2 linked regions of the Cricetulus griseus genome follow. The protein of the gene in region 2 purifies or fractionates together with the protein of the main gene of each other region. This does not show direct contact. Links are inferred from orthologs where the notes say so. Each region holds a gene or a part of one and is shown on either strand. Other genes may lie near its edges. The genes, in order: Armcx3 and Ranbp6.

Region 1 (11,540 bases), on a different chromosome or scaffold from region 2:
ATGGTGGTGACATCACTTGTCTACCCCACGCTGGAGTTTTTATAAAACAAAGCCGATGAAATGTGAATTCAAGAAACAAAGCCTGTTTCCTGAGCCTTGAAAAGTTAGGCTTTGGGGGGGGGGGCGCACGATTAAAACAACTGAGCCCCACTATTAGAAAATTATCTTTGAGCACAGTTAGATTGACACAGGGAGTTTCAGAACTGTTGGAGGAGAAAATCAAAATAGCAGGCTATCCGCTGGGTCTCTTGACACCGTCCCCAAAAGAGAAGAAAGTAACTTGTCCCTGACCTGCCCCATGAGCTCTGCAGACAGTCCCAGGCCTGGATCCTGCTCTTCCAAAAATGGTTGGGAGCTGCAACCTTCCAGGGGAAACACTGGGACACCAGGAAGTGGCCCAGCCATGCCCCACACTAGTCTCACCCAGCAGTTGCCCAAAGAGTGTGCTATTCAACTTAAATTGTACCGTGCATGAGGACATAAAAATACATGCCGAGCACACAGGGCAACAAGAAGCCAAGAATTTTCCTTCTGTGTCTGTTCTGTTCAAGAAGGGTTCCACAAAAAAATCAAAGCACCTTATGGCCACAAAATAGCAAATATTACTGTATATAAAATGCCCCCCGTGAATGGCATTGTGTCGAATTAAAGGCACCCCAGAAAGGCAGAACAGCACAGACTGACTACCACCAATTAACTCCCAGGAGGAAATAGAGACAGAAGTGTGAGGGAGGGAAAAAGAGAGGGAGTGAGAGAAGGAGGGAAAGGAACAAGGAGTAACAGGGAGAAAAGCAGCAGATGATGCCAGGCAGGAGTGTGCCTGCTACACTGGGCCTTCCCATGACTTCATTTCATTTCTTTTGCAGCCTGGGAATAAACAAGTCACTCAGTGTCTCAAGCTCAGCATGGCTTGATCTGAGTGCCCAAGTATGCGTTCATTCTAGAACTGATTTAAGGAACAACTTTCTGTTCATTGCCTCTGTCTTCTCAAGCATTTCGAAGCAGTTTTTTTTTTTTTTAATGAGAAAATATAAAACAGACTGACTAAATTAGGTGCTTCTCTCCCCAGCTGCTAGTTTCTTATCTAGCTGCTTTAGGCAGTCTCCACAGACTACAGCCAGGCCCCTGTCCTCAGTTCCATCTACCTTCTAACAGCTCTCTCCAATTCTCATTTGCAGCCTAGACATCTTCACTGAAAGCAGGAGTAATTCATTCAAATGACAATGTGGTATCTGAATATCACACAAACACTTCAAATTTCATTTATTTGAAATAGATCTGCTCCTGCCCCGTCATAACAATCCTTTTTATCTTACTTAGCAGGGGCAAGAAATTTTTTTTCACTTCATTTCCTATCATCTCATCCTTTAACGTGTTAGCAAATGAGTTCCTATACATGAATGACTTAAGGTTACCAGATCCAACAACTTGAAGCCAACCAGTCCCTGGTCCTACTACAGACATTAGAGTACATATGTGAAAACCTGGCATTCAACCTAAATCATAACTAGACAGAAGACAGCAGCATTTCCTGGTCACAGAGAAAGCAGAATTACATCCTCACACCAATGAGGAAAATGTCGTGAAGGCAGGAGAGATCATGATTGAGGTGATACTTTTAGTCCTGGAACACTTGAGAAATTATCACAGGTTCCTTGCAGGAATGACAGAACTCTACACAGCAATCACTTAATAAATGTTAACCTTTATTATTATTATTTATTAAATGACACTGAAACATGGAAGAATGCCCCAGCAAAACAAAAGGTAACCAAAACCCATCAATACTACATCTGTGTACTTAAAGGTACTCACATTTCTAATTGCTGCTATATGCAAGAATAGTGAAGCTACTTTGCATAAATTCTCTTATTCGAATCTCACTGCCAGCCTTATAGTCACCATCATCTCTCATTCTGAAGTGGAAGCGTTAGACCACCTCCTTTGGGGCCTAAATATTTCCCACTCAGCCAGTACATGTTCAAATTAATCACCTGCTGCATTCCCTGTACTTTTCTTTTTCCAACCCTTTCTTAAAATCAATATTAATTTTTGATAAATAAGAAAACATAGATGAATAATAAGTACAAAAAGTAAGTATCGCTCATTATCTTTCATCCAAATATAACTCTTAGTACTACTGGGTATATATAATTCCATAGATTTTAGTGTCTTTAAACATGATTTAACACACACCCCCCCCCCGCAATATGTAGCCATACTCTGAATACTGCTCTTTAACTTCCCTTGCTCAGTTACCAATGTATGATGAAAATCTTTTTCTAGCAATACCGAGTTCCATCAGCACATTTGCCACACAGCATGGACATTCTTTAATCTACTAAGTCAATTCAGTGTGTTGAACACCGAAGTTATTCCCAAGGTTACTACCTCAAGACAGTGCTGACAGGAACAGCCTTGCACATACAGTCTTTGGCCAGTTATTCAGTTATCTCCTTAGGATAAAAGGTTTCCATATTTTAAGGCTTAATGATATGTATTGTCAAATGCCCACCACCAGAGTTAGAAAGGAGCCATTATGCTATACCATTCTTTATGACACAGTGTGGGAGGACTTTTATATTGACCCCAACTCTTTCCTAGTTAAAAATACATTCAACAAGCCTTCTGCAATGGGCTTCATACGGTTTTACAGATTTAACCCTACTCTCCACACTCTCCACTCTAAGAAGGCTGTTTTGACTATCATAAGGGTTCCTAAATTAATGCCTTTCTCACATCATCTACCCTCAAGTCTGGTCTCATGGAATGCACTGACTTCCCTACTCCAATAAGGACTCCCTTTCAATGGCTCTCTCCTCCCTGAAGTTTTTAACTGACTCCTGTAGCCAGCCACCAAAGCCTTTGCCTCCTCCATGCTCTGAAGGCACACATCTGACAGAATGCATGCTCCAAATAATCTTAGGGTTTGGTTTTTGGTTTTTGTTGTCGTTGTTTGTATGTTTCTTATCTCTACAACTAGATTATAAACCAAAGGACAGGATAGTTTCTGCTTCTGTTGCTTCTTTCCAGCATTAACATAAATCTTTATTGATGATGCACAAATAAAATGGATGCAAATGACCAAAAAGGATGAATTGGTTCACTGTCACTTATTCGGAGGAAAACAGTAAAAATATTTCAATCCAGGCAGCAAGATAAAAAGCAACAAACATATTTTCAGGAAAAGTAGTGATAGTCATTCATCCAACTTAAACCTGAAGACAAACTCGGTTAAATATATCAGTATCAATGATACAGTACGATGCTCATTATTCAAAATTGGCAGCTGAAAGGATTCCTTTGCCATATAAACAAGGTGGAGAAAAGGAATAGTTTACAAGGTGCGTTGCTGCTCTACTACAAAGCCACCGAGTTATTCCTGGCTTTTTGGGAACATCCGCTCAGTAAGTTTGGCTGCGAATTTCCCAACTTTTACTTTCACTAGAAAATCATGGTGGCTTTCTATTCCCAGAACCTTATCAGCACACACTTGAAATTCTTTTAAAAAGAAAAAAAGTGAGCCCCCACTAAAGTGATTCTGAGCGGGCTCATTTTCTTCCCATTTGAAATTGTCATTGATGTTCTCAAGAACTATCATAAGTTTAAGAATAACCTCTTTGTTCTCCTTCTTATTAAAGAGGGAGCCCAGTGCAGATGGCACCTGAGCCCTGAGAAGTTCTCTAGTCATGGCTGGGTTTTCAGCCAGATTCAAAAGGAGTTTCAAAACCTGAAGTTTGGTTTCTTCATTTCCTGCTAAAAATAAGCGGAAAAAGTCTGAAATGGAATTAGCAAGTATGTGCTGATACTCATTAGTAACAGTCATATTCGTAAGCAATCTGAGGCCAGCCAGCTGCACAGATGAGTTCAATCGAGAAGTGATTGTGTCATCACACACTTGATTCATGTATATCTTAAGCCTGCGCTGATTTTCAGCATTCACACTCAGGTTATTTAGGACAATTAAAGCCTTTTCCTTAACAATGGGATCCCGAGTATTGAGAATCTTTGCCACAATTGGGAGACCACCCAAATCACGAATAATATCTCTGTTAAACGCATAAGCAGCATTATTACCTAAAGCGATTAAAGCTGCTTCAAGAATATAAGGCTTTTCAGACATCTCAACCAAACAAAGTACTTTCTGTAACTCTTGAGGGGACAAAACAGTATCATCTGAATTAGGAGAAGCCCTTTTCTGGACAGCTCTCCGAGCCCTCGTAGCCCTGGCTCTGGCCCTGGCTCTAGCTCTGGTCCCTGCTTCAGTGCCAATCCGAGCCCAAGGTGGGTACCAAACTATACTCTTGCTATCATTACTGTCATCATCATCGTCAGACCAGTCATTATACCTGGCCCCAGAACAGTCCCCAGCATCATCCACATCAGCAGAGCCACCCTCAGCCATTTTCTCCTTGCTCTGCCTTCTTCCTCGGGCCAATCTGTAAATGCAATAGCAGGCTCCAGCCCCAATCACCAGGCCTGCAGTCACCCAGCCTACTTTCCTGGCGTAGCCCATGCAATCGTCCCTGACGACAGCAGGGACAAAGAAATAGAGTAGTCACTCAAAATAGGGGAAGAGGGCTTCGGGCCTAAGTGCAGGCCTGTGGAGAATGGTCTTCTTCAGTCACTTCAAGGCCAGTGTAACTGGTTCTGGAGACAAACCTAGAAATGGAAGAAGAAAAGAGGGTTCAGCTTTCTCTTCTCTGCACTGCCCCATGCAGACAATCACACCGAGGGGCCAGAAGGTAGTAATTGAATTCTGCATAGGGAATACATATTGTTGACAAAAACCTCGATCTCCCTCATTTCACTCTCTCCTTGAATGCCTCTCCTCCCTTCCCCCCACCCCCAGTCACTCTTGCCTCTAAGCATAAAGTCAACGGCATCCGCAATTTTTTCTGTGCTCTCATCCGTCACAGGCTCCTGTGATACCCTATGGGATAGGCACCCATACACTAACCTCCTGGAAACAAGCAGTTTGCCCCCTTCTTCCTTTCCTGTGAGGTATTGCCACGCCCAACAATCTTTCTGATCTGCAGAGATACCAGAAACAGTGAAAAAAAAAAACGAGGGCTTGTTGCATGGGCTGTATATTTTATGCTTTCCTAATTTACCATTCAGGTTGTCAGATTTTTGTTAAACCTCGCTGTGCCATCCATCCAAAACACGCACAGTTGAGCCCCCCCTCCCTAGTCTCAAATGGATGGATGTAAGGAAACAAAGTAGGATTAAGTGAGCCTGGCCAAACCCAGTCTGATTTCTAACCCCTCCCCCATTCCAGACTGCCCCCACGCCCACACCGACCTCTACTGATCCGGGGAAAGTTCCTCCCTTGCTTCAAGAGGTGCCACCTGCTACAGCAGACCTGCAGGATGACAGATCGAAAACATGGACACTAAGTGCTGTTGAGAGAGAAGGATTATGAACAAACTATCTGATAGGTTTTCCTGCTGTCATCCCGCCCCCCGCACCCACCCCTGCGATCACATTCACTCACACACACATACACACAGAGAGAGAGAGAGAGAGAGAGAGAGAGAGAGAGAGAGAGAGAGAGAGAGAGAGAGAGAGAGAAAGAGAGAAAGAGAGAAAGAGAGAGAGAGAGCGCACGCCATTTCTCCACAGTTCGGAGAGTGTGAGAAACACATTTAGACTCAAATCTAAACGTAGATTACCTTTTCTGGTTTTACCCCTTTTTTTACCCCCGCCGCTACTAGGGTCCCCAGATGGTCTTACCCTCAAATCGACCTTCACCGATCTGGTTAATTTCCTTCCTCTTCTCTTGCCTGGCGTGGTACCACAACCTACGGAAAGACTGGCCACCCAGGAGAGGCTTGGACCCACTAGACACAGAGCCATGGTAAGGAAGACACGGCCACAGGCAGAAAGACGGGAAACAGCCGCTACAGAGTGCTTGGTGGACGGACCAGTCCCCAGAGAACGAAACTCTTTCCAAATTCGGAGGCCTGGTTGTTAAAGGTTTCCCGCCCGATACCCGGCTCGGGGTTCGGCTGACACATCACATTGCACCCCACTACGCCGGACCCTATGTCCAGTTTTTCCCCGCCGGCACAGTCCTGGTGGACCAGGGGCCAACACCCAGGCCACAGCTCCCTTTCCGGATTGCGGGCCTCAGCTCGCAGCAGATTCCCATCTCCTGATTTCTGAGCGCCTGCTCTAACACCCCCTACTCACTGTTTTGCAGCATCGAAATGGGCTGCGGGCGGGACACATATCTTGGGAAGAAGAGGCAAGTGGGAGAGACGACGGCGGCGCCCCCGGACCTGCGACGGCCTCCGCCCTCCACCCTCCACCACCCGCACTTTATGAAATATCCCAAGCACTGACCTGCAGGGATCCGGGACAATTTCTTTTCCGCCTCCTTCTTGCCTCGGCTACAGGCTCGCCCGCCCTCAGGGTGATAAGGAGCTGGTACTCAGACGGGAACAACGACCAGGACAAGAAGGACTTCTGCACACGTCAGCTCTTGGTCACGTGAGAGCGACGTCATCCACCAACTCGGATCCCCACTTTCCCCTCCCACCAGCAGTGCGGCAGAAGAGGACCCGCCCCCCCTTCATTCCCTCCCCCATACCAGGCCTTGTTACTCTTTCTTCTTTGCGGCTAATCCCATTTTCCTCTAGTTGTGTTTCCCTTCCTCCAATTACCAAAACAGGACAGCATCCTCCCCTGGGGCTACTGGCCACTTGTACTTTTTTTTAATTGACTCTTCCTTCCCTAGACTCCTGGGACAGCAGCTTCTCCCTCTACCTCCCCTCCTCCCGGCTATGAATCTCTACCATTTCCTCTGAAATGTAGTCCTAGACCTGAAATGAATAAGCAACCAGAAAAGGAAACCTGGAATGAGAGTGTATCTTTCACTTTCTTCATACTTTTTTGGTTATTTTCACCTTGGCTTTTCGCCTGTTCACAGCCTGCATTCTATTTATGAGGGAAAAAATACAAAAAAGTATTTCCATAGGGGAAAACTAAGAGTAGAGTTAGGAGATCAATGCTGGGTGGTGGCCTCTAAAAGTCCCACATTTCTCAATTAGTGGAAAGTGTTACCCGCTTTACTCAAAGGAATTTTAATGTCTTCTGGGGCCTATCACATAACACAGCTGAATGAACATACACAACTTGAATGAACTAATCAGCCTGCCTGAGAATATGTAAATCTTCTGACTAAGCAACAGGCTTTGAAGGTCACAAGTTAACCAGGAGGAGGCTTGGGTTCTCCAGAGTCAGGAACAGAAAAGATTGAGGAGAAATCAAGTCTGTTAGATAAAAACGGACACACTGATATGCAAGTGATATTCAAAGAACATTGTGAAATATGCTGGGATACAAACACAGAACGTCTGCAGATGAAATAGTATTACACGAACACAAAGAGCAAGGCAAACTTGACTGAACTTGGCATCTAGCAATTAGTATGAAGCCATTGCACTGATTAGCTTGATAAACACAAGAATTCTCTTGCAATTTTAACTTTCAGAGACAGAAAAGGGAACAAAGTAATTACACTCTCTCATTGTTTTAGTTAACCAGGTTTGGTTTCAGTTGCTGGCTGCCCAACAAGGCTAACTTAATACATAGTACAAAAACAAATAGCAGAATACATAGTGTAATGTAGCATTCCTAAACATGAGCTCTTCTGTGAGAAATTCCCTAGCAGTTTAGATACAAGTTTGGTATCTGGATAGAAATTTCCAAATCCACAGGAAACATAGGAGTAAATCTAGAGTACAAAGAGTTTAGGAAAATTTTTATCACTGTAGCTTCTAGAAAGCAGAACTGAGACTCGATTTTGAATTTAGTAAATGGAGCCAAATCAACTGTATGGCTCTGTATTTAGAGAAAGATCAAGTGCAACAAAGAGACTTATTCACACACAAAAAGGGCATCAGATGAAAATGTTAATAGTTCCCATCAAGCACTGTTTAGAAGAGAGGAAGTTCTGGCTAAGGTAAAGGGGACATTTCATCCTTGGCAAAACCAACTCCATGATGTGTAAGAATACCTCAAACTTCCTAGGCTAAAAGTCACTCCTTAAGATGAATGAATGCCCTCACTCTGATTCTAGGTTCATCAAGCAAACTGCAAGAGAGCATGGACAGGTAAGACAGGCAGAAACCTCTTTTGCCCCCTGGCACTTGTACTTCTCAAGGTAAACTACTCAGTTGTTAGTCCAGTTGAAGTATAACTTTCATTGTAGCCCATTTAAGAGGAGGAGAAGACAGAGACTGGTGAGTGTAACATTCAGATCTTGGTTTACATGTGCATCTTTGAATGAGAGTCTGTCACTCGCAGAAGCATCTGCTCTCTGTTTACAGACAAAAGCTGGGGTAGATGGTGCAACACTCAAGACAACACCCTGAACTCTATATGCAACCCTATGGAATCCTGTCAGGGAAGCCAGGTGGCTTTGGTTCCAAGGGCAACCTTATGCATTGTCGTTTCATATTGTATCTTTCTAATGATCAGGTAATGTAGAAATTATGACTCAAGCATGTGGAGGTAGACAGGTTCCTAGAATCTCAGTGACAGCTAAACAAAGGCTCACTGTGCAAAATAATTAAAGGATGATATACACTAGGACTGGAAATATGGAGTAAGTGTCCAATAACACTCATTGCTCTTGCAGAGGACCCAAGTTCGGTTCCTAGCACTCCCATCGTTGGGGTGGCTCACAGTTGACTATAACTTCATTTCGGAGGATCTGACCCCTTGTCTCTTACCTTCAGTGCATGTGGTGCCATACAGACAAACAGGAACACTCACATCACATAAATAAAAAGTAAAGTCAATAATTTCAAAATAAATCATCATTTTAAACAATTCACACTTCATACTAAAGAAAGTGAGTGAATGTATTTCACATTTAACATACTCTGTATTTCCCTAGCAAAAAGATGGACACTGTGGCCAAAACACTCCAACCAGAAGCTCTCCTGTTAAAATTTTAATCTTGAGCAAGGAGATAACAACCTGAAACCAGGTAAACTTAGGTGAAACGATCATCTATCAGTTTCTCCTACCTAGATCCCTGACCTTGCTCCTTAGCATTTGTTCTCTGTGTTAACCAGACTTGGATAATCTGCTTGCAATGAGACAACCTTAACTAAGCTACAGTACTACATCAAGTAACACAGTATCCAAAGCTTTTCAAATGCCAACCTTCTCTTTTGTTTCCCTCCATAGACCATAGTGTTACCAACTGCTGATCCTTTTTTATTTTCATGTAATATGTGTGGCCATCAAAAGGTTTCCTTGGGGAGTGGTTTTACAAACTTTTGTTGTTTGTTCTAATAGGCTCTGAAAACATTAAACAGACTTGCCTGGGTACTTAAGCATTTTCCCTTCTCACATTTAAGATGGTGTATCAGATGTCTACAAGGTCCTTTAAAAAGTATTTGTGTGTGCATATAATGGAGAACAAAGTGGTTCTAAATCATAGCCCCTGTGCTTGTTGGTAAGAATTATGAACTAAAGCGACAGAGATGTAAACTAACTGAAAAGGTTCATGCTCCTGGGGTTTAAGAAGTTTTAGATAGGGAGTGGATTCAAACTAGAAGGTCCTGATGAACTGAGAGATTGGTGGTTTCTTCTGTGTTTTTATGCTGAAATGACTGGATGACATAGCAAAAGAGAGAGAGATTTTTGTAGCAATGAAGAGAAGTAGGCGTGAAGCTTTCGTCCCTGAAACTTGACAAAATGTGAAAATGAGTTCACATTGCAGAACCGATCACCTGCTTTTCTTAGTTCTTCCTCATGTTTATATTCAAATGAACAGAGGTCTCTTGTGTAAGTTCATGGTAGGCAAGCACTAAAAGTACAGTTTAATCTGAGCATTTTATTCCTAAATTTTCAGAGACAGGATTTACTTAGCTAAGAAAATCATAGAAAGACAGCAAAAAAAAAAGCACGGTAGCAAAACAAATGAAACAGAGAGCCAGAGGAAATGGGACCTGATATTTTAAATGAGTCGAGTTGTTAGGAAGACCAGAGAGTGATGATATGTTTGTTCCGGAGTTCTTATATTTGCCAACAAGGCATGGATTCCCTGCCTCACCTCCTGCAAGGGCCTCCTCCACACAGGCCATGCACAGGGAAGGCCTCTGGCAGGCGAGTCAAATTTCAATATGCTAAGAAAGAAGCAGCCTGGGGGTCTATATTTAGAGTATGACTCCCAGCAGTGAACAGGTGGCGCCTGGGGACTCACTCTTGCATATTTTGTCCCTGAGTTCTGAGCGGTTTGTGAGGATGGTGCAGTAAAGTTATTAGGGAAGACAGGGGGTGAAAAAGGCCTATTTCTCCTGGGGACAACTTGGGATACTGTATTTTGGTCTTCTACCTATGAGAGGGAAAAGAAATTGATGTCACCAGTGTTTTTACAATCTACAGTTATCCACAGACTCTTTATCCTCATTGTCACTGGAAATGAAGACTTCATGCTGAAGATTCATCATTGATATGGTGATATAGTGCATGAAGGGCAGACCTGAGGAGGTCTCACTAGTCTTATAATGGTATGAAATCTCCACCTGTCAAGTATTAACTGCCATCTATGGGATAGCAGAGAGTGCCCTAATTTCAGGGTGGTTCATGGTTTTGCATCATGAAACTTCAGTACAAAATTGAAATCCCTTTGAATGAAAAGCAGGTAGTCTGTGATGCTACTAATTTGTAAAGTTTATCTGAAACCTAAGTTGGCGTCTGCATAAAATCTATCTTTTGGGTGACACTGAGAGTCATTGTTGAACCTTGTACAAGATCTCAGTCAACTGACACCTGTGAATTCACTCAGGATAAAAAAAGGGGGGCAAATAATGGCTCACACATCTAAAATGGTCAAAACTTCAGCATTGACCTCACTACTAATCCATTTACGTTTCATCGATCCTATTGAAAGCATGCTTTTGTTTGTTTGTTTGTTTGTAAGGATATGTTTTAAAACCACCAGATGCTGTTCTAAACCTGGTATTAGGAAGAAAATATTTTCGATGTTGTATTAATTAACTTTGTCAAATCAATGAGATCTCGCTCTTAACTGGAAAAAATCTTAATTTCTTTTTTGCATACAATTTAAAAGATTGGAATTTGTTTACCTATCCAAGTGGAAATAGCACCATTTTGTCTTATGATTACAAAATATAGGAGAAATGAAATAAAGCATAAATGGATCAAAAGTGTTAATACAATTTCCGTTCACATCTGGGATTCCTTTGCTGCTCCCTCTCCCCAACTGTGATATAGAGACTGAAAATAGAGAGGGATAGAAATTAAAGAAAGGAGTTTGAAAACCAACGAAAGGAGCAGGCAGTTCCCCCAAGAATAAAGTGTGAGTGCACAGTAATTCGAGAAAGTCAAACTCAAACAAGACAAACTTCTGTTTGCTGGTATTGTCATAGAGAAAAAGACTAACAGGGCCTCAAGTATTGGGGGAGGCACGGAGCCTACTGGCGCCTGCCGCACTGCTTGTGGGAGTGGAAATTGGGGGCTAGAGCTCACTGGTGACGTGGCTGTCACGTGACCGA
Region 2 (11,571 bases):
TCACCGGCCGGGCCGGCGGGGCCTGGCGCCCCACCCCTCCCGGGCCGACGGGGCGCAGGGAGGGGGCGAGGAGGAGTGAGAGGGGCTCTCCTCCTTCCCGAGTGGGCCGCAGCACCGGGCCGCCGCGGCTCCGGCTCCTCCTCTCCTCACACCCCTCCCGCCCCTGTCTACCTGCGGGGGACCTGGGCAGGAGGAGGCGGCGCACGGACCGGGCCCGGCGACAACTGTCAGTTAGAAGCCCCGCTGGGCGGGGGGGGGGCAAGGGGAGGGGCAGAGAGGAAAGGGGGAGGGCACTCAGCCCCCCCCCGGCCGGGGAGAGCTGTGTAGAGAGGCAAAGAAAGGAGCGCCGTCGCCATTCGCGGCGCGCATGCGTAGTGGCCCAAGTGGCCCCGCCCCCTTTCGTCCCGCCCTGCGACGCCAAAGCCAGGGCTTGGCTCCACCGCCGGCCTCCGGAGGCGGGCCAATGATGTCATCAACATGCGGACTTCTGCGAGGGGAGGGGCGGAGGGAGTAGCAGAGCGCCTGCGCGCGCTGCACACACTCGGGTAGCCCATCAAGGTTGCTTTTGGGAGACCCTTACTGGTCCTAAAAAATATTTTAATATTAGTTTTCTCAAAGCATCCGCTAGGTGACCTAGGTACGAGAATGCACAAAAGTAAACCTCTCCGTTGTAAACTAGCATCTTTGCACCCGTCCTCCCTTGTGACCGCCGGTCTTTTTTTCTCATAAAACTAGCGTTTGGGAAAGATTAGAAAGGAAGTTTAAGGACTTCACAAGAGTGGAGGATTGTAGAGCTCTAGTTCTCGAAACTCCAGCTCCCAGTTAACAGTTTTTTAAAAACCGAATCCTGTGTTCTATTGAAATGTTAAAACCGATAAACACCTGGATTCTTGAGTTCGGCTAAAGAGAACGCAATCTCGCTTAAGAAAAAAAAACAAAAAAAACAAAAAAACTCCAAATATTTCTACTCTAAGCTGTACAGCTTGTCATTGGTGTGACTTTAACAATCTTGCTACATTTTTTTATTTTTAAAGTAACTAAAAAAAGTGGACTCATCATTCACATTAGTTCACGTTGCATAAAATGAGGGGGAAATTAATGAGCCCCAAAATAGTTATTACTGTTTTCTAATGCATGTGATATTCAGACTTACTTGTTTGAAACTTGGAATGATACATAAAATCGAAACTATAGAAGTGCAATTTGAACATGAAATTTATAAATGGTTGAGATCTCACCTTCAAGATTGTTTACTTCTGCATAAAGACGTTTAAAGGACTGATAAAATGTAGTGCCTTAAAACTTTTTTTGTAGGGAGTTCAGAAAGCTATATATCTTTTGTAGCAAAAATACTGAAACAAGAACATGAGTTTTTAGAGTAGTTACACTCTCCTTCACACATAACGTACTCATCTGGCATTTTTGGTTTTCTCTCTGTCAGACATACTTCAGCTCATGAGGAAAAAAGGTAAGGACCAGTTCTACTACAGCAACTGGCAAATATGTCTGGTTGGGCTTCCTTCATTTCCTTTGACAAAACCCAAGCATCTAAAAGCCTACCAAACTCAAGCAAATGCCCACTCCCTTTTAGCCACCAGACCTATTTCAAAATTCTCACACAATAGCTTCCATTTACTGACCCTTCTGCTGCTTAGCACTTTATATTCATTGTCTCCTTTCATTAAGACAACCACCACATAAACAACATATTATCCTCATCTTGCAGGTAGGGAAACAAACACTTAGAAAAATCAAAATTCAAATTTAAACTCTCTCTTACTTCAAAACTCCAAGTACCCAATTACAAATCATTTGCCAGTTTCACAAGACTATATGACCTGCAAGCAACATACTGATGAAAGATTTCTTAGGCCACACAGAGAAAGAGCTCAGTAAGTAGAAGGAACCTTAACTCCAGTTCATGAAGAGGTCAAAATGATAGTAAATGAGGTCCTTGAACTTTACAAAAAAAACACTTTATTATATGAGAAATACGTTGTTTGTATGTAATTTTAATTTATAGAAAAGTTGCCATTTAATCCCACCACCCACAGAAAACTATTAAACTTCAAGGTAGCTAGCTATTTATTTTAAATACACTTGTAACCATACTATATATCAAATTCTGAACTATCTAAAAATCTAACTTTATATCCCTGTCTACAGTAGTCTAGATAGACCTAGTAGGGAGGGAAATTTGTAAACCAAATTCTAAAGCATGAAAAAGAACACAGTAGAAGAACAACCAACAGTAGTAACACTGACACTTTATTGAGCACTTACTGGGTCTGACATATTTGCTCCATTACATACACAACACAACAGGCTCAGGAAATCACAACAGACATTCTTGTTTGTAAGTTTTGAGTGAAGTTTGTTAAGTAGAAACTTTTTTCTACTCTACAAAACACCTTCAACAGTAAAGACATTTCAGTTAATACAATTAACCCTAAATTCAGAGTTGTTTTGTAAAACAATACACTGATACATGACTAGTCTTAAAGCTCATTTTTTAAATGTTTAAAGATGAAATTAAGTTTGTTTCACTGTTTCTGTAGAATCTGTTAAGAACTGCTTCAAAACAGAAATCTATTTATTCCCTTATTCTGAATAAAGGTTTCCTTTCTTGTTTAGTGTGGGGGATAGGGGGGTATTACATATAAACACTCAGCTAAAACATGTAACAATAACGGACTCCCACAAACATTGACTATTATTTATTAAGCTCTGTTCAAGTCTATCCCATGCTTTCAGGGTTAGATGTATCAGCTCTTCCTCCTCCACACCATTTCAATTCTAGATAATTTTTTAAAGACCAATTTGGTTAAATTCTTGTACCTCTCAACCGGACACCCTGTAAATTGGAATTTAGTCATGCTCCAACCCCTTTACAGGAGTTCTACATGAAAAGGTTCATTTATATTATAGAAAAAAAAACTCCTACATCCACTGCAGTACCTTGAAACTTTTTCAGGTCTAGCATCCTTCCAGTACCATAACAAACAGAAGTATTACCAAGGAAGAGTACCAAGGAAGAGTAAGTCTGCCAATATACTCGACCCTCAATTCCAAAGATGCTTATCCTGGAAGTTTCCCTTTCTTTATGAGCTCTTTTACATCTTGTGACAGTCACAGACATCTTGGCACCAAGTATACCGTTTACCCAGCATCAAAAGTTCAGACAAATAGCAATGATTTATATACATTTACACTAAATAGGGGGAAGGTGACAGAGAACTCTTAGGACAACTGACTGGAAGCACAAGTTACAACCACAGTTTCTTTAAGAGATGACACATGCAAAATAAACAGAAGACCTTAACACTAATCCTGAAGTATGAACTGCTTAGCAGAGAGAAATGGTATCTCTCATTTGTAAGGATCCACTCACAAAACTTTGTAGTTATTTTTATGATAGCTGATATTCAAGTGATAGTAAAGTGCTTCAAGCAAAATTGAGTAATTCTTGTAAAGCTTCCTGCTGGTCTTCATCAAGTTGGGATATACATTGCAACCATAATTCTTCAGAAGTCTGTATCTGTCGAACAACGTTAGCTAGGCGTTTGGCACAGGGGTCTTCGTGGCTAATAGTCTCGTTAATTTTTCCTTCTGCAATTATACTGATGATTTTGGGAAGATTGGAATTATTGGGACCGATCACAACTGGGTGGTTACTTTCAATTAGGTCACAGAGAAAATTCAAAGTCTGAATAGCTTCTTCTTTATCTTCATGCAGCGGGAGCCATGACAGCCAGTGTGGGAGAACCTCATCTACATTCACACAATTGGGCTTGAACTTCATAATCTTTCCTATTGCTGAGATACAGTTCTCTGTAGCAATGACATTTTTTTTCGTTTTGGAATTTGCACACTTAATAACCTTTACCAACAGTGGAACAGCTTCTGAACATAAAGAACGATAATCGTCTCCACCAAACTGTGCCATAACACCCAGTCCATAAGCAGCAGCTTGCCTGACTTCGGGGTTGTTATCTCGCATATTGAGTAGCATTGGCCACCGAAAATACTCAACATATTTGAATGAGGTTGGGCTGCAGTGCTCTATGATATCATCAAATATGCACAATCCCCACTGTCGATCTGGCCATGGCCTACTTGAACAAATTAGATTCACAATTAAAGGAAGTAGCTGTTCAAACCATGGCAAAATCTTCTCCTTGTAAGTGCTAAATAATGAGTGCAAGATATCTGATACTTTGGTCAGAATATAAACATCACATTCATCTTCATCCTGAAGAGACATTTCTACCTGTTGATCATAATTCTCTTCCTGCCTTTTTACTTGCCGCAACTCTTGGTTTTTAAAGTGCCCTTCAAGCTTTGCCTTCAAAATTCCTCCCAGTTCTTCCAAGTGTTCATCATTGAGACAACCATCTCCCATCACCTCAATGGACTTTGCAAAAGAATTCATTATCTCTGAGAGTACATCTGTATCAGGTTCAGTTCCAATGGCCTTGATTAAGGGATCACATATATACTGCCACATCTGTGAAAGATACTCCGTGCCACGGATCCTTGCACATTCCAAGAGAAAGGGCATGGCTTCCGCAGCTGCCACTCGAACATTGTCGTGAAAATAAAATTTCAACAAAGGAACCATCAGCTTCACAACTTGTTCTGTATAGTCCACAAATCCTTCTCTTAACTCCTTAGCATAGTAAACCAACATCTGACAAGCAGTTGCTTTTGCTTCAAGTCCTGAGGTTTTAATTCCAAAGCTTTGCTGGTCTCCAAGATTTACAAATTGCCAGCCATCATCATCACTCATGTTCTCCACATCTTGTGTGTCTAAGAGAGCAACATCAGGTTTAGCTGAGGCAGTCTTAATAAGAGGCTCGATAACCAGTGGAAGATACTGCTGAAAGTCTTTTCCAAGAATTTTACACATTCTAGCCCACGCTGAAACCATGTAAGAAGTCTGAGGGTCATCATCTTCCATAGTATTTAAGTCCGATTGTGTCTTCAACAGTAACTGCATCACATTCGATGCATCTTGCATAAATTTCTCCTTCCCAACGGCAAGACCAACATGGCTAATGCACTCAATAGTTTTTCCTCGAAGAAGCTTGAGTTCCTTTTGAACTGCAAGCTCAACAACATGTTTGAGGGAGGGCATAAATATATCATAATATGGAACAAAGCTTTCTTCTATTGCATCTGCAACTGAGGCAATGGTTGTCACAAGCTGTTCTAAGGCCAACTTAGTTCCACTCCGAATCAGCTCTTGCAATTTAATTACCAAGATGGAATGTAGACTTTTTACCATATTTTCCAAATATAGAACTAGTAGCGATTTGGGGCAGTCTTCAATAAAGATGACAAGGGCAGAAGCCGCATGGCATTGCACACGCTGATTACCTTGATTTTCCATGGTTCGCAACAACGCCGTAATCACTATTTCATGGAACTTCTTTTGGAAACTAGGTGCAAAATCTGTGGCCATCTGTCCAAGTGTAGTGCAGGCAGCTGCCCTCACCCTTGGATGGGGATCCTGAAGAAAAAGCAAAACTGAGTTAACTGTTTCATCCAGAATTGGTTCCATTTGCTGATGGCAACCTTCTCCGATGGCCGATAAGGCCATCAGTCCAGCATGTCGACATTTCCAGTCATGGCTCTGAAGCATCTGCATGATATGCTCCTTGGTCATTGGCAAAACAACTTTTCCACCAAGTCCACAAGCCAGTCTGTCTAGTGCGCTCTCCGCAGCAACTGCATTGCTGTCGAAATCATCTTCTTCCATTTCATCGGCGTTTACCCAGTCCTCATCATCTTGTAGATCAACCATCATCGCTAATATATGAGGCACAGCCTGTGCAATAATATTCGTGTGCTTTTTCAACATCGGAGTTGCAGTTTCGGATAAGGTCACTATTACTTCCAGAGCCAGCTGGCGTTGCAGATTACTAAGCCTCGAGTCTCCGCATAACTTCAGGCTCAACTGCAGAGTATCTTCTAAATAGGGACCCAAATACTTAGGTACGGTATCTGCAATCTCGACAAGGGATTCTAGCACCGAATCATCATCCTGGTAGCAGGAATCATTCACAGCCTGTAAGATTCCAGGAAGCAAGTCCGCAAAGTCTTTGAAAAGAGCAATATTGTTTTCATTAGCAAGGACAAACGCAGCTGCAGCTCTAGCAGATAATGTCCTGATTGCTGGATGCTCTTGATCTTGAATGCACTGGTCCAACAACCTCTTGATGATATCCAAATCGTGGCGATCTTGGTTCCCAAAAATCCCAGGAAAGTGCCAGAAAACGTGAAGTGCCACTTCCCACAGAACCACATTTTTAGAGTGAATCGAATCAATGAGGAATTTCAGACCTTCTGGCCAATGGTTAGTGCCCTCCTCATCTATCAAATTCCTGGCCAGCACCGCAAAAATATCACAAAGCTTTTTCCTCATGCTAGCGTGTGTTTCCAACTTAACAGCCAGTATCAGTTCAATCTTGACATCCCTCTGCACATGAGAAGGCAGATTTGGATAGACCTCCTCAAACCCAGAGGACAAAAGCCGTCGTAACAGTGCGGCAGCCATTTGTCTCACCTCATAACCTGCTCTTCTATTTCGGACGGCGTCTAAGAGGAACGTAGTCTTACACAGCCCCGGGATATTCTCGTAGACTTCCTCCGCTTGCCTCCGCACCATACAGCTTGGATTGATCAGGTTCTTCAGAAGCTGGTAAAAGTCCTGCTTTTCCGACACGGTCGCCGGCAACCCTGCAGACCCGGCCGCCGCCATCGCGCCCTGTCAAAGCTACCGCGACCGGCAAGGAGGGAGGGAGTCTGCGGCTGGAGCAGTGACGTCAACGAGGCGACGGCGGGGATGGGCGGGGCGCGCTCCCCAGACCGACGCGGGGGTAACGCTGGAAGGGGTGGGAGTAGGGGTGGGGGTGAAGGGGGGTGAGGTGGGGGTGGGATCGGGGTTTTACCGTTATGACGGAGCCGGGAGAATACCGGGGGTATCTCGTGTTTCCCGATCCCTGTGCACCTGCAGAGGCGGGAAGGAGATAGGAGGAGAGAAACTCGCCCGAAGAGCCTACATACTGTACGATGCCCTGATTCTTATAAAAGATCTCAAATAGGCCGTCTACACGGACTTTAATTAGCCGATGCTATGGAGTAGGGGAGGCATGGAGTATAACTGCGGTCCGCTGTCCCGGGATTTCTTTTTGAGGGTTGATGAAAATGTTCTGTAATTGATAGTGAGGACGGTTCCCCAGTGCCATGCCATTTTACTAAGAAATGCTGAGTTCTATTATTTGAATTGGTGAACAGGGTATATGAGTGATACCACAATAAAGCTGTTCGCAAAATAAGCTCAATTAAAGGATAACGATTTCCTCCCCACTACCACATCCAATGAAGTAATGTGGATTATAATAGAGATGAGAAAAGAAGAACTAAGTAAGTATGGTGGAAATGATGTGGAGTAATAAACTTCTTCAATCCTGGTCTTCTATTAACTTTGTGTCTTTGTCACTCAAGATTTCCCTTACATGTGTTTCTAAACTGCAATACGACAGAGTTCAGTTATTGGAATCTTAATTACCCTTTAATAGGAAGCTGCAAAAGTTACCCTCAGAACAAATTCCCCGGGGCTAGGCGTCTTAATTTAGGCAGGTGTGTCATTTAAAACCTTAATTATAAAGTGTAACTGTCTGTGATCAGATCTTAGTGTTAGCAGTTATTATACTCATTTTTAGCCCTTATATAATTCTATGAGGTTGATAAGGATAGAAATAGTACTACCTGTAGGTGAGAAATGGAGAACCGGGGAGACTGAAGGACTTGCCCAAGATAGCAACTGAGTCTAAATTCTACCTTTCCTTAGAGTGCACCCTTTTCGCCACAGAACTCGCCCATAACCACTCTTGCTTTTGCAACATCATCAAAGACCTTCAATTATTGTTTTCTGTCTTAAACTTTGCCAAGCAGTCTGAATTTCAGTTTCGTGGAATTCTGTTGCATGTACACACAAAATGGAGAAATGATAGTTTTCACATTAACAAGATGACAGACCAAATAGATGGTCTCTTAAATTAATTTGTAATATGCAACTATTCTCTGAATAGTGTTTCTTGATAGTGGGCCATATCAAGATCACTTAGGACCAGCTTCCAAACTACTAAACTAGCATTCTGAAACCTGTAATCCCAGCATATATAATTTGAATATGCACAGTAGGTTTTCATATAAATACCCAAATTTGAGAATTATGCATCAAATCAGTTTTTGTTCTGATCCTAAGATCTTACCTGTAGTTCTTCACCTCGTACCATACTTAATGATTTTCTTACTGCTCCTAGAAAAAGTTTGGCTGCAAAAAGCTTTGCATCTGCAGTTTTAGGAAATGTTAACGAATGTGGGAGAAATGCTTTCCTTACAGCTACAACCATTAGCATACTAAGAGCTTATTAAAGCTACAGCAAGATGCAATGGCAGACCCCCTGCTGTGTTTGGAATGCAAATGACTAACAATGCCAAGGTTGGTGCAGTGATATTATGTTGGGAGTATGAATAACTTAGTGCAAAGTGAAAAATGGTTGAAATGCTGTTAAGACTGTTCAGTCATACATTTATTCCATCAGAAAATATTCACCAGAGCTATAGCAAGCATAGTGCTGGACACCAAAAATTAAATACAAGAAAAGCTAGGGAAATGCCTCAGTTGATAAAGTTCCTGCTGTGTAAACATGACGAGTACTTGAGTTTGGATCTCAATACCCATGGAAAACCCCACTGCACATGTATACCCCAGCACAGGGCAGGAAGAGACAGGAAGATCTCTAGAGCTCAGTGTCAGCCTACACAAAGTTTGGTCAGAGGCTCTTTCTTAATAACATGAGGTGATTTAGGAAGACACCGGAAGTTGACCTCTGACTTCCACAATGTGCACACACCCACATAAGCCCATCATACAGTACACACACAAAGAGCAACTTCACGAAGACGATTATGGGACATAGTAGATGTCATATAAGGAATTAGTGTGCTAATAATTCTGTCCATGGCACTAAGGAACCGCCTAACACACTGAGGTTTAGAGCAAATCAACTGGGAGTCTGCCCCGAAGAACATCCCCTCACCAATTATTTGGTGGGCCTGAATTACAATTTGTGCAGGAAAAGAGAGGGGAAACTTGATTATTCCTATTAGTCCATGTTCAGAGTGGGTGACATGAATCTCAGATGGAGGTGACGTCCGAACTGGCTTCTGAACTCTTAGTTAACCATTTGGGGAGAGAGAGAGAGAGAGAGAGAGAGAGAGAGAGAGAGAGAGAGAGAGAGAGAGAGAGAGAGAGACAGACAGAGACAGAGAGAGAGACAGAGAGAGACAGAGAGAGACAGAGACAGAGACAGAGACAGAGAGAGACAGGAGAGAGAGGGAGAGAGAGAGAGAGAGATAGGAGAGAGAGACAGATACAGAGAGAGGAGAGAGAGAGAGGAGAGAGAGACAGAGAGAGACAGAGATAGAGACAGAGAGAGAGAGAGAGAGAACAAGTGAGAACAACTTGCTGAAATACAGAGGCCTTGAAGCAAACTGTGAGAACTCTCTGCCCATGTTTCAGAGTCAAGCATTAGGTGTGGGGCCTGAGAGGGCCGGGTCAGCAAGGAGGAAGACAGGGAGATAAGTCGAGACCAGATGATGAAGGGTATCATAGTCCATGCTAAGAAACGTGGGTTCTTTCCCTAAAGGTGACAAGATTTTAATCAAGTGCTATGAATCAAGTTTTAGAGCAATTTGCATGAACAGGAAAACGGATGCATAAAGAATAGAGACATTATGTTGGTCAATTACCTAGTTTGGTTAACCAGAAAGTCTAAATTCAGTAGCTGAATTTGATGGCGGGAAAGAAGGCAAAGACCAGAGAGGTAACAAAGCAGTGCACAGTATACGAGAAGGAGACTAAAACATCTTCCCAAGAGTTTCCCTGGTCATCTGGTTTGAGGTGCTGTTATTTGCCAGTCTATTTATTTCTAAAATAATAAAAATCAGTGTTTATATATATTTAAAAAAAAACACTGCTATTTGGGAGGAAAAAGCTTTTCCTAAAAAGGTGAATCTTGGGGGGTCTATTTTGTTCTCTCACTGCTTCCCACATGATAAAACAACTTGTAATTTCAACAGTAGGAGCAAAATTGAACCTGTTTTAGGGCAATCGTTTATGACTTCTTGGATAAATTACCTTGTAGTTAATTTTTTATTGTTATTGTCCTTCTCTTTCCCCATATGAGAAGTGTACATAATACCCTAAATTGGCTTGCCAATTTGGTTACAATTGAACAATTTTAAATTCTGTAATTAACTCTAGCTTTGTTGTGTTGGTGGAGAGGGCATCTCAAGATCATTTCCCCAGAGTAACCCAACACCAGACAATTAGGGTGTTTATTGCCAAGTCAGGGAAAGGTCAGGATAAGTTACTAATTTCACTGAAGGACTTAGAAATTTAGAGTAAAATGAAAGGGATAGAATTAAGTTGATCATGCATGATATTTTTTTTCAAGAATAATCCAGAACAAATAAGAAAAATACAGAAAACAAACCAAAACAAAATGTCATGAAAATGCCATGAACACTTTAAATGGCCTAAAATGAGACAACCTGAATATAAAAGAGAAAAATGCCTACAATAGATTAAAAGAGAATCAAAATTATGAACAAATGTGACAAATTTCTAATATCAAAACTTGCTAAGCCACTGATCATCTTTAGATTCCTAAGCCAGCAACTCTGAAAATGGACTAAGAGCAGTAATCAAGTTTCCCCTGTCTTTTCCTGCACAAATTGTAATTTAAATCAACCAAATAGTTGGTGAGGGAATGTTTCTCTGTACAGACTCCACCTAATCAATGCAAAAAGAATGCCTCAGTCAGAGAACTATTCTGCAACAGCACTGAATGAAACAATGGATCCAGGTAATCCTCAAGAGGCATTAGACCATTAGATGAAGCCTACTTGGGAGCTTTTAAATAGGGAGTTTAGGCCGAAGCCAATGGAAATCATTGTTTAAACTTTCTGTTTAAACTGAAAGTGCCATTTGCCAGTTGTCTTAAGCTCATATCCATCTATATTTGTATAATTTGTTCTCTGATGCTAAGGTTAGGTTTGTCTAACAAGTGTCTCCACTCAGAGCTGGATCTCTGTTGGCTTCTGCCAACAAGAACCTCAAGAGACTGGACAATGTCAAAAGAGGCAGGGTCAGGAAAGGGATTGTTTCTTGTTCTTTCTGTTTTTCTCTGGGTTGCCTCAACAATAGCCCTTCTTTCTGGAAGCAGCAGCCTCTTACAGCCCTTAAACACACACACACACACACACACACACACACACACACACACACACACACACACACACACACACACACACACACACCTCTCACCTCTGAGGGAATAATTGATAGTTTATTCAGCAGCCCAGAGTAACTGTGGCTTGGGAATACAGGTTCAGGTTACTCCAAATTCCATGTACCGATATTGCAGTAGTTTCATTGAGTTTTTATAGTAACAGAACAAAGAAAATCAGAAATGAAAGCATTTTTCAAATACACCA

The links.
Region 1: the proteins of Ranbp6 (region 2) and Armcx3 purify together in Homo sapiens (co-immunoprecipitation; 3 studies listed by BioGRID and IntAct, counting the BioPlex papers as one, with this or other methods). This does not show direct contact. The link is inferred for Cricetulus griseus from reciprocal best matches to the Homo sapiens genes RANBP6 and ARMCX3.

Annotation. Positions count from the first base shown.
Region 1 is NC_048604.1:45,332,693-45,344,232, forward strand, and holds Armcx3 (armadillo repeat-containing X-linked protein 3), read right to left. Parts: upstream 6,515-11,540; 5' UTR 6,349-6,514; intron 5,844-6,348; exon of another isoform or gene 5,737-5,843; intron 5,366-5,736; 5' UTR 5,305-5,365; intron 5,034-5,304; exon of another isoform or gene 4,961-5,033; intron 4,663-4,960; 5' UTR 4,517-4,662; coding exon 3,377-4,516; 3' UTR 3,005-3,376; downstream 1-3,004. UniProt on the Homo sapiens protein: Regulates mitochondrial aggregation and transport in axons in living neurons. May link mitochondria to the TRAK2-kinesin motor complex via its interaction with Miro and TRAK2.
Region 2 is NC_048596.1:31,601,163-31,612,733, reverse strand, and holds Ranbp6 (ran-binding protein 6), read right to left. Parts: upstream 6,807-11,571; 5' UTR 6,764-6,806; coding exon 3,446-6,763; 3' UTR 2,248-3,445; downstream 1-2,247. UniProt on the Homo sapiens protein: May function in nuclear protein import as nuclear transport receptor.